2 linked regions of the Macaca mulatta genome follow. The protein of the gene in region 1 binds, or shares a complex with, the protein of each later gene. Links are inferred from orthologs where the notes say so. Each region holds a gene or a part of one and is shown on either strand. Other genes may lie near its edges.

Region 1 (5,602 bases):
GGAGAATGGTGTGATCCCGGGAGGCGGAGCGTGCAGTGAGCCAAGATCGCTCCACTGCACTCTAGCCTGGGCAACAGAGTGAGACTCTGTCTCATTAAAAAAAAAAAAAAAAAAAAAAAAAGGAAACAGGAAAACTGGTCAGAAAAATGGGAGCATATCATGAGAACTTGATTTAGGCTCTACCTATCACGTGCACATACCAATTAGAAGCTAGTGATACACAGTAGAGGGGCCTTGGAAATCATCTGGCAGCACCGGGAAATACAGCAAAATCCAGTTTATGGAACACAGTAACAGTAGTGCTAGCGACTGTATCCGTGTACAGGACAGTGGAGTCTGTGAAGCAACCTGCAATATCTTGTGCTTAGTGGCAGCAGCAAAGACGGTGGTGGATGAATTCTACCGGTTTTCTTTATGTGTCCTGTAAGTTGGATTCTTCAGACTCGGCACTTTTGTGAGCTACTCAGTATAATCTATTATCTAATACTGTCGATTACCTTACTGGGTAAGGGAGAAAAACCCTGTAATTGTTGTGAAAGACTTGTGGCTGTGTAGCCAACGGCCATTCTTTTTGAAACAGTCATTTCTGTTTTTGAAACTTTTTTTTTAACACTTTTTTTTTTCAGTAGGCATGTACCCAGCCTGATGCAGAAATGATGATTGGTCCATACCGTAAGTCCATAGCATTCTATGTAATATGTTCTTTTTGGCAACATTCATTAACTCTTCTCTTTACAAAATCCGCGAGGCATTATTTTTTCCATTGTATTGATGTGAACTCCCAGGCTCAGCAAAGTTACTAGTTTTGAACACAGGCCTGACTCCATATAGCTCTTTCCATGGCACTACCCCATTACTCACCCATGGTAATTTTGTACATTTTTTATGACTCTGGTTGTGGGTATTTTACTTTCCTACTTGACCTTCCCCATCACCCTTGACAATTCTGGGAACTCCTTAAGGCGACTCACTACCCCTCAGGAATCGCTCCTAATGATTCTAGGAAGCCCCCTCCCCCTCCAGCCCCCCAGAAGTGCCTCTTCTGATTCCCAGGATGCCCCCCTCTCCGCCCCAAGAGCTGCTCCTAATGATCCCCCAAATCCCCGCTCACTGAGGAAATGATTTTTTTTTTTTTTTTTTTGAGACGGAGTTTCACTCTTGTTGCCCAGGTTGGAGTGCAATGGCTCGATCTCGGCTCACCGCAACCTCCGCCTCCCGGGTTCAAGCGATTCTAATGCCTCAGCCTCCCGAGTAGCTGGGACTACAGGCATGCACCACCACGCCCGGCTAATTTTGTATTTTTTTTTTTTTTTTTTTTTTTTAGTAGAGACGGGGGTTTCTCCATGTTTGTCAGGCCGGTCTCAAACTGCCGGTTTCAGGTGATCTGCCCGCCTCGGCCTCCCAAAGTGCTGGAATTACGCGCGTGAGCGACCACGCCCGGCCAGGAACTGCTTTTTAATGACCCTAAGGACAGCCTCCCTCAGGGTCTGTCCTAATGACCCTCAGGGCAGCCTCCCTTCCCTGTCCAGACTTGACAGCGAATGAGGGGTTTCCAAGGACGCAGGATTTTGTTTTGAAAACTGAGACGCCCAAGACAAACCGGGACAAGACGGTCATCTTTTCAGCACTCCCTGAGCTCGGAAGCTGCCCCTAAAGGCCCCGACACATTTCCACGTTAGGCCAAGAGGATACTCATCCCAAGAAAACTTTGGCCCATCCTTTCGTTAGCGACATCCTGTAGTAACCTCACCGCCCTTACCCATCTACCCGACCGGCCCACTTCTAGGTACTAGCTTCTTTCAACCCTGATTAGTTATGGGTGGCCAGGAGCCCGCCTATGATTGGCCAGCTTCGCGATCCAGCTAGAGGCTCACTGGCCGCAGTCCCGAGTGGTACAGCGTTTCCTCCTGGCAACAGCCCGAGCCGGCGCTCATAGGCTGAGCACACTGAGGTCGGGACTGGGAGGTGGCTGCGGCGCGTGCTCATTGGCTGGTGTATGGTTTGCAGCCACCCTTGAATTGGTTGACTCTGTGCGGCTGCGCAGATGCAGACTTTAGAGGAGGCGGAGTTTCGTCCTTCGCCTGCTGGAAAAGCAGTAGGATCGGCCAGTGGCGACAGCAGGAGCTGAGCCTAAGCCCTGGCGGGGCTTTGGGCTGTAGGTGAGAACTATAGGGTTTTGGAATTCTTGAGGCGCTTTGCTGCTGTAGCCGTGACCGTGAATTTTGTGGGGGAGGGGCGGTGGGGGTGGTTCTTCCAGCGGTGAGTGATCGGCATGTTTCTCGGCCAATAGGAGAAGGAGCTTCCAGAATGTGTTCTGAGATTGGCCTTTTCCAATCTTCAGGGCCAATGGACGTCGGGAGAGGGGGGCGGGTCCTCTGGGCCTTATTTTCTTCTTCCTGCGGCGGAGCTTTACTCGCTAAGGCGGCGGGGCCGGGAGGGGCCGAACCTGTGCGCGGTGAGGTTCGGGGACCTTGGGGAGCAGGGTGCGCTGCCTTTGGAGTGATGTTCGCGGGAGCGGCTGCGAGGGAAGGGTGCAGGAGTCCGAGGGGTTCGTTAGCAACAACTAGCTTTATTGAGTGGTTAAGTACCGGGCCTAGTGCTTAGTGTTTCGCTTGCATCATCTGAGCTAATCACAGCGACCCTGCAGGGCAGGGGGTTGGGATCCCCATTTTACAGGTGGAGAAACTGAGACTCAGTCAACTCACACAGCCAAGGTCACACAGCTAATAGACGGCAGAGACCGGATCTGTATTCAGAGTTGTGACTTTGGAGCCGGTGTTCTTGAATCACTAGGCTTTGTTACTGATTGGGAGGGAAGGTGTCATGAAACGGGAGCTTTCCCCAGGGAATAGATTGGGGGAAGGGAATCGTAGGGTTGAAGAAGGGATGAACAATTGAGGTGAGGGTGAGGAAATCAGTTTTTCAACAGTTACCGATTGCCTACTCTGTGCCATGCATTGTTCTAGGCATACAAAGATGAATTGGGCCAGAGGCTGATGAAGCCCATTAGGGCCCCTTTGAAGGCCCGGGGAAGGGCCCCAACATTGTATTCACATGACTGTATGTTTTTATAAAATTTGCAAAAGTAAGATATTTTGGATTCATTTTTCTTTTTAAGAGGGTCTTCAAAATTAAATAAACTTCGGGTTTCTCCATACTTGGAACTGCCCTTGCAAAGGACTTAATCCAGATGGAGATGAGGATGTAAGCAGTATAGGGCAGTGGAAGGTGCACTTAAGAGTGGGCTGTGGGCAAATTTCCTGGTATGTAAAACAGGGATAACAGTATACCTGCCATGCAAACTTTCTGCCAGGTTCATGAAAAGCGCCTGTTTAGAAACACGCCTTATTTTCGATGGAAAGGAAGCCTAGGAGATACGGGTAACTGGATTTGCCTTCTCTCCTACCTTACACAGTTCTGCTCCCAGGGCTGTAACCAGATTTCTGGTAGATTGGAGGCAGTTTTCTCCTTTCTGAGCTCTCCAGCTCTCAAAGAGACTCTTGGAGCTGAACCGCCATAGCTTTGGGCCCCAGATAGCGGGGTACAGAACTGCTGCTGCACCCTGAGTGAGGAGGGTGGGTAAAGGAAAGGACATACTAGTGTTCCTTCTAGAATGGCCTGTTTTCACTGGTATGCTTTGTCTTTTTTCAGTTGAGATGGTCTATTGTGTTACCGAGCTGTGGGGATGCACCCATTTAGCTGAAGTTCTCATCTAAAAACAAAGTATTTATTTGGCTTTCTCTAGTCAGTTATGAAGTTTGCCCTGTATTGCTAGTTTAAATTTTGTCCTTTGAGTTCTGGGTACAGTGCAATGGAACTTGTTTGTAACTTGATTTCATTAAGTACTCCTGAAACTGCATCTTAGTTTAGATAGAACAGTTTCACTTTAGGGTTTTAAAATTATGTTACTAATATCAAAGGTTTTAAAATCATGTTACTAATATCAAAGTACTTTTGAACCCTTAAGTTTTGTTATCTTGTAGCCACTTAACTTTTATTAGGTATCCGGTTTAGCTGTGCCCTAGGAAGGAGCTTTGGCCTCCCAAAGTGCTGGGATTACAGGCGTGAGCCACCACACCCAGCTGTGCGTGGCTTTCAAGTTGTAGTATATTATGTTTAATACTCTGAAAAGTGATTAGCAAGGTGTTAATAAGGGAGTAGCTTGAAAGGATAAGGGTAAAATATGGACATTTTAGCTGTACTATTAGATAGGACCAATAACCAAATTAATTTCCTTTTTTTAGCTGAACAATTTTGTTTGTTTTTTTTTTTCAAGAGCAATCCTGTTGCAATAACAATATCTCTGTTGAAATAAGGTTTGAATCCATGCAGTTTTGATACATCACTTTCTTTTTAAACAGAACCTTTTCGATCTGTATTTCTAGTTTATTTAAATCACTTCTTGTTGTGATGTTTTAAAATTTTTTGAGACAGGGTCTCACTATGTTGCCCAGTCTAATCTCAAACTCCTGAATTCAAGCGATCCGCCCACCTCTGTCTCCCAAAGTGCTGGGATTACAGGCTTGAGCCACCACAGCCCCACCCTAAATAACTTTTCTTTCCTTTTTTTTTTTTTTTGTTTGAGACGGCGTTTTGCTCTTGTTGCCCAATCTGGAGTGCAATGGCACAATGTTGGCTCACTGCAGCCTCAGCCTCCCGGGTTCAAGCGATTTTCCAGCCTCAGCCTCCCGAGTAGCTGGGATTACAGGCGTGAGCCACTGTTCCTCGCCCCTAAATAACTTTTCTAGAGGCAGATTCCAGGTGTGAAGTCTTAACTGCATCTTCTGAATTTCTATATTATCTTTTACTGTTTTCAGCATTGATGTTTCCAGCACTTAATTTTAATTTTTATATTATTTTATGCTCTTAATGTGTTTCTTCAGATTCCTGTCTGACTAAAGGGACCTCAAAAAGGAGGGAAAATGGCTTCTGAGTCTGAAACTCTGAATCCCAGTGCTAGGATAATGACCTTTTATCCAACTATGGAAGAGTTCCGAAACTTCAGTAGATACATTGCCTACATTGAATCCCAAGGAGCTCATCGGGCAGGGCTGGCCAAGGTAAGGAGCTGGGATTGTTCAGATGGTTTTGTTACCTAGGGCAGCAGTAAGATTTTTTTCCTAAATAAGGGCCAGAACTGTGTTTTACTGAAAGTTGGGTGGGGTGATGACTTTAGTGAATGCAGTTCTATTTGCAAGTTAATTCCCGTTGTTAACATCAGAAGCATCTCTGCTTTTAGGTAGGAAGAGAGCTACTTGGAATCTTCAGAAAGGGGGAGGTAAAGAGCTAGTGTCTCCAGGCCTGGCTGCTGTTGTGCCTCAGCCCTCTTGGTGGAGCTGGGTGCAGTAGTGTTATTGAACTACCAGTGAGTGCTTATGCCATCTGACTTCTCTTGCTCTCATTTCAGTCTCATCCAGCACTCTAGTAGCAATTTGGCTTCCCATGTGGACTTTCTTCAAGGGGAGAGAATGCACTGGCCAGCCAACATGAGTATTCTGGTCCTTGTAATTTGAAATTGGTTTCTGGTTTGTACTTCTTTCTCCTGTGAGTTGGATTCGTTATTTTTCCTGAGTCAAATCAGTTCTTCATATATTCTGTCACA
Region 2 (5,633 bases), on another chromosome or scaffold:
CCATAATCCAAGATTTCATGTTTGTTTATGAGGGCATGAGGACATTGAGGGCATGACAATGAACTTCTAAACTCATTCGTCTTTTAGACAATGATCATCCACCACTTAAGTTCTCCATCTCAGCTAACATTTGACTTCAAACCTAGCCTCATCCATCTCACAATTTTCACGTGGTAAATATTGGTTCCTTTCCTTATGGCCACTCCCTCCTTGTTCCCTCTCCACTCTTCTGAGATTCTTTTTCTCCCACAATCATCCATTCTCCAGCAGTGAAAACCTTTTGTCATCATTCTATCTTGTGCAGCAGAAGCTACATCCTGCCAGAAGGAAGTTTTCTTTCCCTTTCTACCTTATCCAGTCCTAGGTACTAAGGGGCATCTAGGAAAGGGTAAATTGTACTGCAAAGGGGGCTTCAGTCCTGCGGTAACTATTGCCTACCTGCAGTCAGACACCTTAATGACTATTTGGGTTTCTGCCATTACCTAGTGAACTTTTAACCTGAAAGCTGCCAAAAGAAAACTATAAATTAAATAGCTTTCTGAAAAAGACGGTTTAGCAAAATAATTTTAAGGTGTCTCAGAAGTTGCTTCTTTTTTCCTGCACCTCAGCGCCTAGGATCCGCCTTTTCCTCCCCTACTCGCCTAAGAGCTTCAGAGAGAAACTGGCCCAATTACAAAGCAAACCAGAAACCTTTGTAATACTTCCGTGTTCAGCTCACATTGTCTTCAGCCTTTACTTGCAGTTATCACGTATCTGCATGGTAAAAATTTTACAAGAAAACGGGGGGCGGGGGTGATGGTGGAGAAAGCTCCAAACAGAAGGAAGTTGCAAAAGGGTGCTCTTTTGTGTTCAGGGTGGGCCGTCACCACACGAAGTCCCAGATCAACATCACGATCAACTTGGAAATCTGCACACGGAAACGAAAGAGCTGTACACTTACAGTACTTTCAGTTTATGTTAGTGTTATCTGACACTAAATGAGCTAATGATCTAGTATGTGCCCATAGCACTCAACTTCTGGTACCTATTGTTACTACCTATAATTTCCAAGTATTTCCTCTGCAGTACTAACATAACATTAAAGATTGGTAGTATGGTGCTGAGAAATCCAATAATCCCCCTTTTGAATGAAATTACAACTCATTTACTGAAAACATGCGTGGCTCTTAAAAGAGCCTTTGGGATTAGGTGTAAAGATGCTTACTTGGCAAAGTTACTTGGAACTGGTGTACTTGGTGACGGCCTTGGTGCCCTCCGACACGGCGTGCTTGGCCAGCTCCCCCGGAAGCAGCAGGCGCACGGCCGTCTGGATCTCCCTGGAAGTGATGGTCGAGCGCTTGTTGTAGTGCGCCAGGCGGGAAGCCTCGCCGGCGATGCGCTCGAAGATGTCGTTGACGAAGGAATTCATGATCCCCATAGCCTTGGAAGAGATGCCGGTGTCGGGGTGGACCTGCTTCAGCACCTTGTACACATACACGGAATAGCTCTCTTTGCGGCTGCGCTTGCGCTTCTTCCCGTCCTTCTTCTGCGCCTTAGTCACCGCCTTCTTGGAGCCCTTCTTTGGGGCAGGAGCAGACTTGGTAGGCTCAGGCATAGCAACGTTAATAATTACAACACTGTCGCAAACACCTGAGAAAATAATCACTCCCACCGATGCCCCGTTCATTTATAGATGCGGTATTCAAATGAGGTTAATCAGATTTCGTTTATGATTGGATTAATTTTTGTGTGTCGTCACAAATGCCAATGTAAACGACACTTAAAAGTCTACCTTTTCATTGGCTATTTCATTACTTTACTTTTACCCAATCAGAAAGCCCAGACCAGACTACCCGAGGCTACTATAAATAGTCGTCTTTAGACAAGTCAGCTGTGCACTTCTCTTGGAGCAGTTGTTTTTGAGATCACACTTTTTATTAGCGTTGTGGTGTCAGAACGTATACTGAAAGATACTTTAGGAGAGCTCACGTTCTCTTTTCTTCCTCTAACAAATTATAGGACTCGTTGCATACAGAAGTCATGGTAATTGGGATATCCCTGGAAGTCTGGCAGTTTTGCGTTTGGGAAGTCATCTATGCAAATGCTACATTTAAGGACCAAGTATTTTCTGCAGTGTCAATTTCTAATTTTTAGTTGTGGCAGTGGTTGAAATAGTGTACTATGCCACCTGTGTCGAGACGTACTCCTCTGCACTCCTTCATTGCTTGCCATAGTCTGTAGGGAGCCAGCACGGAAATTGAGTGTTCTCTATTCGGAACTCATACGTCCCAGCCTAGAAGCCCGCGAAAATCCCGACTTTTTTTCCCATGCTATTTGCAGGCCAGATCTCGCTAAGTGTTAAGTACTACGGAGGTCGAAATGGGTTTTAACTCCAGTATTCGAAAACGCAATAAAAGCTCAATGACGCGGCTGCACTCCTGCTTGGCCGACGGAACGCGAAATGACCCCCTGGCCAAAAACGGCTCCTCTCTCCCGACTTTGTTCCCGGGAGACCCGCCCCTCAATAGCGGCGTTTTCCCGGCCACACCCCCTGATAGTGTAACAGCTCTTTTACTGAAAGCGGTGGGTGGCTCTGAAAAGAGCCTTTGGGTTGTGTTGAGCTTCTAAGCAGTTGGCCAAAGGAACTTCCTACTTTTTCTTGGCTGCCGCCTTCTTTGGCTTGGCTGCCTTGGGCTTGGCGGTCTTTGGTTTAGCCGCCTTGGGTTTCACTGCTTTGGCCTTCGCTGGGCTCTTGGGCGCTTTTTTTGGCTTGGCTGCTTTAGCCTTTTTCGGGCTTTTCGCTTTTTTGGCTCCAGCAGCCGCAGCCGGCTTCTTCGCCTTCTTTGGGGTCTTCTTGGCGCTCTTCTTAGGGGTGGCTGCCCCCGTCGCCTTCTTGGGCTTCTTCGCCGCTCCTGTAGGCTTCTTGGCTTTGGCCGCGCCTGCCTTTTTAGCTTTAGGCTTGGCTTCCCCGGAGGCCGCCTTCTTGTTGAGTTTGAAAGAACCCGATGCGCCGGTGCCCTTGGTCTGCACCAGAGTGCCCTTGCTCACCAGGCTCTTGAGACCCAGCTTGATGCGGCTGTTGTTCTTCTCCACGTCATAGCCAGCGGCTGCCAGCGCTTTCTTGAGAGCGGCCAAAGATACACCGCTGCGCTCCTTGGAGGCGGCAACAGCCTTAGTAATGAGCTCGGACACGGGGGGCCCAGACGCTTTGCGCTTAGCCGCACCTGCGGACTTGCGAGCCTTCTTCTTCACGGGTGTTTTCTCGGCTGGGGCCGGAGCAGCGGGCGCGGCAGGCGCAGTCTCGGACATGTTGAAGGCAGGCGTGAGAGAGAGAGCAATTCGAGCCGGAAGCAGAGGCACTGGCCGGGACTCGGGCCGCGGCGCTGCGCCCGCCCGTTTATATAGGGCGGAGCTGCGCCGTGATTGGTGCGCTGTCCAGCCCGCCTCGCTGGCAGCCGCAGAGTGTCCTCTCGGATCCCGAGTTGTGTTTGTTACACCTCAAAAAAAGCCAAAAATATAAAAATTGTCTGCACCGAACTACCCGGTTTTTCTCAGATAATGATCCCCGAACCCTCAGGCTTCACGCAGATCTCAAATTATGAGGAAAGCACAAAGCCTTGTGCCAAAAACTTGCAATATTTCCCGCCGTGCTTGGCAAATTTCAACTCAGAGAAACAAAACTTTCTATTTTCTTCGTAAATTATAAACCGATCTTTAACTGTGGAGTTTTCTGACCTCTCAAATATGATTCTCCAAGTGGTTAGCTTCTGATATATCCAAAAAGCATGCCACTGGCATTAAGATTTTTATTACAAATCTGCACTTAAGTGAGGGAAGTAACACAGGCTCCTCGGAGAGTCCTGCCTATTGAGCCGAGGGCATTTGAGTTCATCAAACTGGTTTAGTTTAATGCTAAACAAATTATTCCTCATTTGACATTAAGTTTTGGACCCCTGGGACATCAATCTATGCAGCCGTGGTTTTACATCTGTCCGCTATATCTGAGTTTTAAAACAATTCCTTTGGATAATTCTTTCCCTTTCTGCTCCCAAGGGTTGGGGGCGGGGCTGTTGCTTCTCTCTTCTCTGGACAACTGCTCCATGGATTGAGATACCTTGAATTCAGGGTATTTGGGAACGAAGGGAAGTCCAAAATATACTCAGGGTACAGAGTTGAAAAAAGATTAATTTTCGAATGTGATGTTCATAAAGTCACTGGAAGTGGAGGTGCACTTTTCTTTAAAGCATTTGTCTGCAGCCTTGCTGAGTGCTTTTGGCATATGCTTCAGAACCAAATTGCAATAAAGTAGCTTAGAGCTGGAATTCAAACATTGATAATAAGGGAAAATAAATAAGAACTGTATATTGAAACATATGTACTCCCATTATTAGAGAAGCCCAGCCGCTATTATTACTGAATAGTTGAGGAATGACTAGTCCACTCACCATGTATGGTTTCAATCCCCCTGAAGACTGTATCCCAACGCTTCGCAGAGCGCAATAGAAAGAAAAATAAGTGACATGTAGTGATTAAATGACAAGTTCAAATTTCGATCTCAGAAGCAGAGCTTTGAGAGTCTATCTAAGCTATTATAAATCATTGCCCTCTGAAAACATCCTTTGAACAATGTCTGAGTAAATCTCTTTAGGTAGTTGCCCAACCAAGAAGAGTGTATGTAGGTTGGCAATGAAAGCCCAACTAAAAGAATTATTTCTGAATAACGGTATGGCTGGAACAGTATGGGTGGAACTACAAGCCACTTATCATGGAAACAAAATAAAATTTTGCCCAATGCTATAAGTTGATATGATACTGTTCTGTGGACGTGGCTGATTGTAATATGGCGTTGGATATCACTTTAAATGTTAATTTCATTGCCCAAAATCTCCAGACAAAAATTCTGCTACTGAAATAAAGAGAATATAGAATTTTGATATAACACGAGTGAAATGTGTCAACACAATACTGTTTAATGTTGAATTTGGTATAAAAGTGATGTAAATTATCAATGTTTTTAATATCTTCATGTGTAAATAAATAAAATTTAATTATTGCACAGCAGTGCAAAAGTAAATATGTCCTTTGGTGTTTATTGAAATAAAAAGGGAGATGGATAAATCTCCAAAACATACTAGGGAAACTGATTATATGGGCATTTGATTCCAGAATGGTAACATTATACCTATTTAATGACAACAAAAACCACTCCTGTAAATGGCTGAAAGTTACACAACACATGGAAGTTTGCTTTCACATGCCTCACTTTATCCAGTGTATTCCTCATGGCTAGGAAGGAGTTAAACTCCAAATTCTGTGGTCTTTCAGTTTCCACTGCTTGCCCCCTTACACTGTGGTGTGTTTTCTTTTCTTTCTCTCTTTTTTTTTTTTTTTTTTTGAGACAGAGTCTCACTATGTCACCTAGGCTGGAGTGCAATGGCGGGATCTCTGTTCACTGCAACCACTGTCTCTGCCTCGAAATGCATGGGCTGGGAGCAGTGGCTCACGCCTGTAATCCCAGCACTTTGGGATGCTAAGGCGAATGGATGACCTCAGATCAGGAGTTCGAGGCCAGCCTGACCAACATGCTGAAACCCCATCTCTGCTAAAGTAATGATAATAATAATAATAATAATAATAAAGTTAGCCAGGTATGG

The links.
Region 2: the proteins of KDM4A (region 1) and H1-4 are in contact, whole or in part, in a crystal structure (PDB 6H8P), measured with the Homo sapiens proteins. The link is inferred for Macaca mulatta from reciprocal best matches to the Homo sapiens genes KDM4A and H1-4. Residues at the interface, in NP_055478.2 of Homo sapiens: Ile71, Asn86, Ala134, Asp135, Asn137, Thr167, Ile168, Glu169, Gly170, Val171, Tyr175, Tyr177, Glu190, Asp191, Ser196, His240, Lys241, Ser288, Thr289, Asn290, Asp311, Met312, Val313; in NP_005312.1 of Homo sapiens: Ala24, Arg25, Lys26, Ser27, Ala28, Gly29.

What each region holds. Positions count from the first base shown.
Region 1 is NC_133406.1:197,014,079-197,019,680, reverse strand, and holds the start of KDM4A (lysine-specific demethylase 4A), read left to right. Parts: upstream 1-2,040; 5' UTR 2,041-2,159; intron 2,160-2,411; exon of another isoform or gene 2,412-2,455; intron 2,456-4,883; 5' UTR 4,884-4,922; coding exon 4,923-5,060; intron 5,061-5,407; exon of another isoform or gene 5,408-5,544; intron 5,545-5,602. UniProt on the Homo sapiens protein: Histone demethylase that specifically demethylates 'Lys-9' and 'Lys-36' residues of histone H3, thereby playing a central role in histone code. Does not demethylate histone H3 'Lys-4', H3 'Lys-27' nor H4 'Lys-20'.
Region 2 is NC_133409.1:156,952,009-156,957,641, forward strand, and holds the start of H1-4 (histone H1.4), read right to left. Parts: upstream 3,352-5,633; 5' UTR 3,289-3,351; coding exon 2,629-3,288; 3' UTR 1,595-2,628; coding exon of another isoform or gene 1,214-1,594; 3' UTR 1,205-1,213; intron 908-1,204; 3' UTR 1-907. Other genes in the region: H2BC5 (histone H2B type 1-D), read right to left, coding at 1,214-1,594. UniProt on the Homo sapiens protein: Histone H1 protein binds to linker DNA between nucleosomes forming the macromolecular structure known as the chromatin fiber. Histones H1 are necessary for the condensation of nucleosome chains into higher-order structured fibers.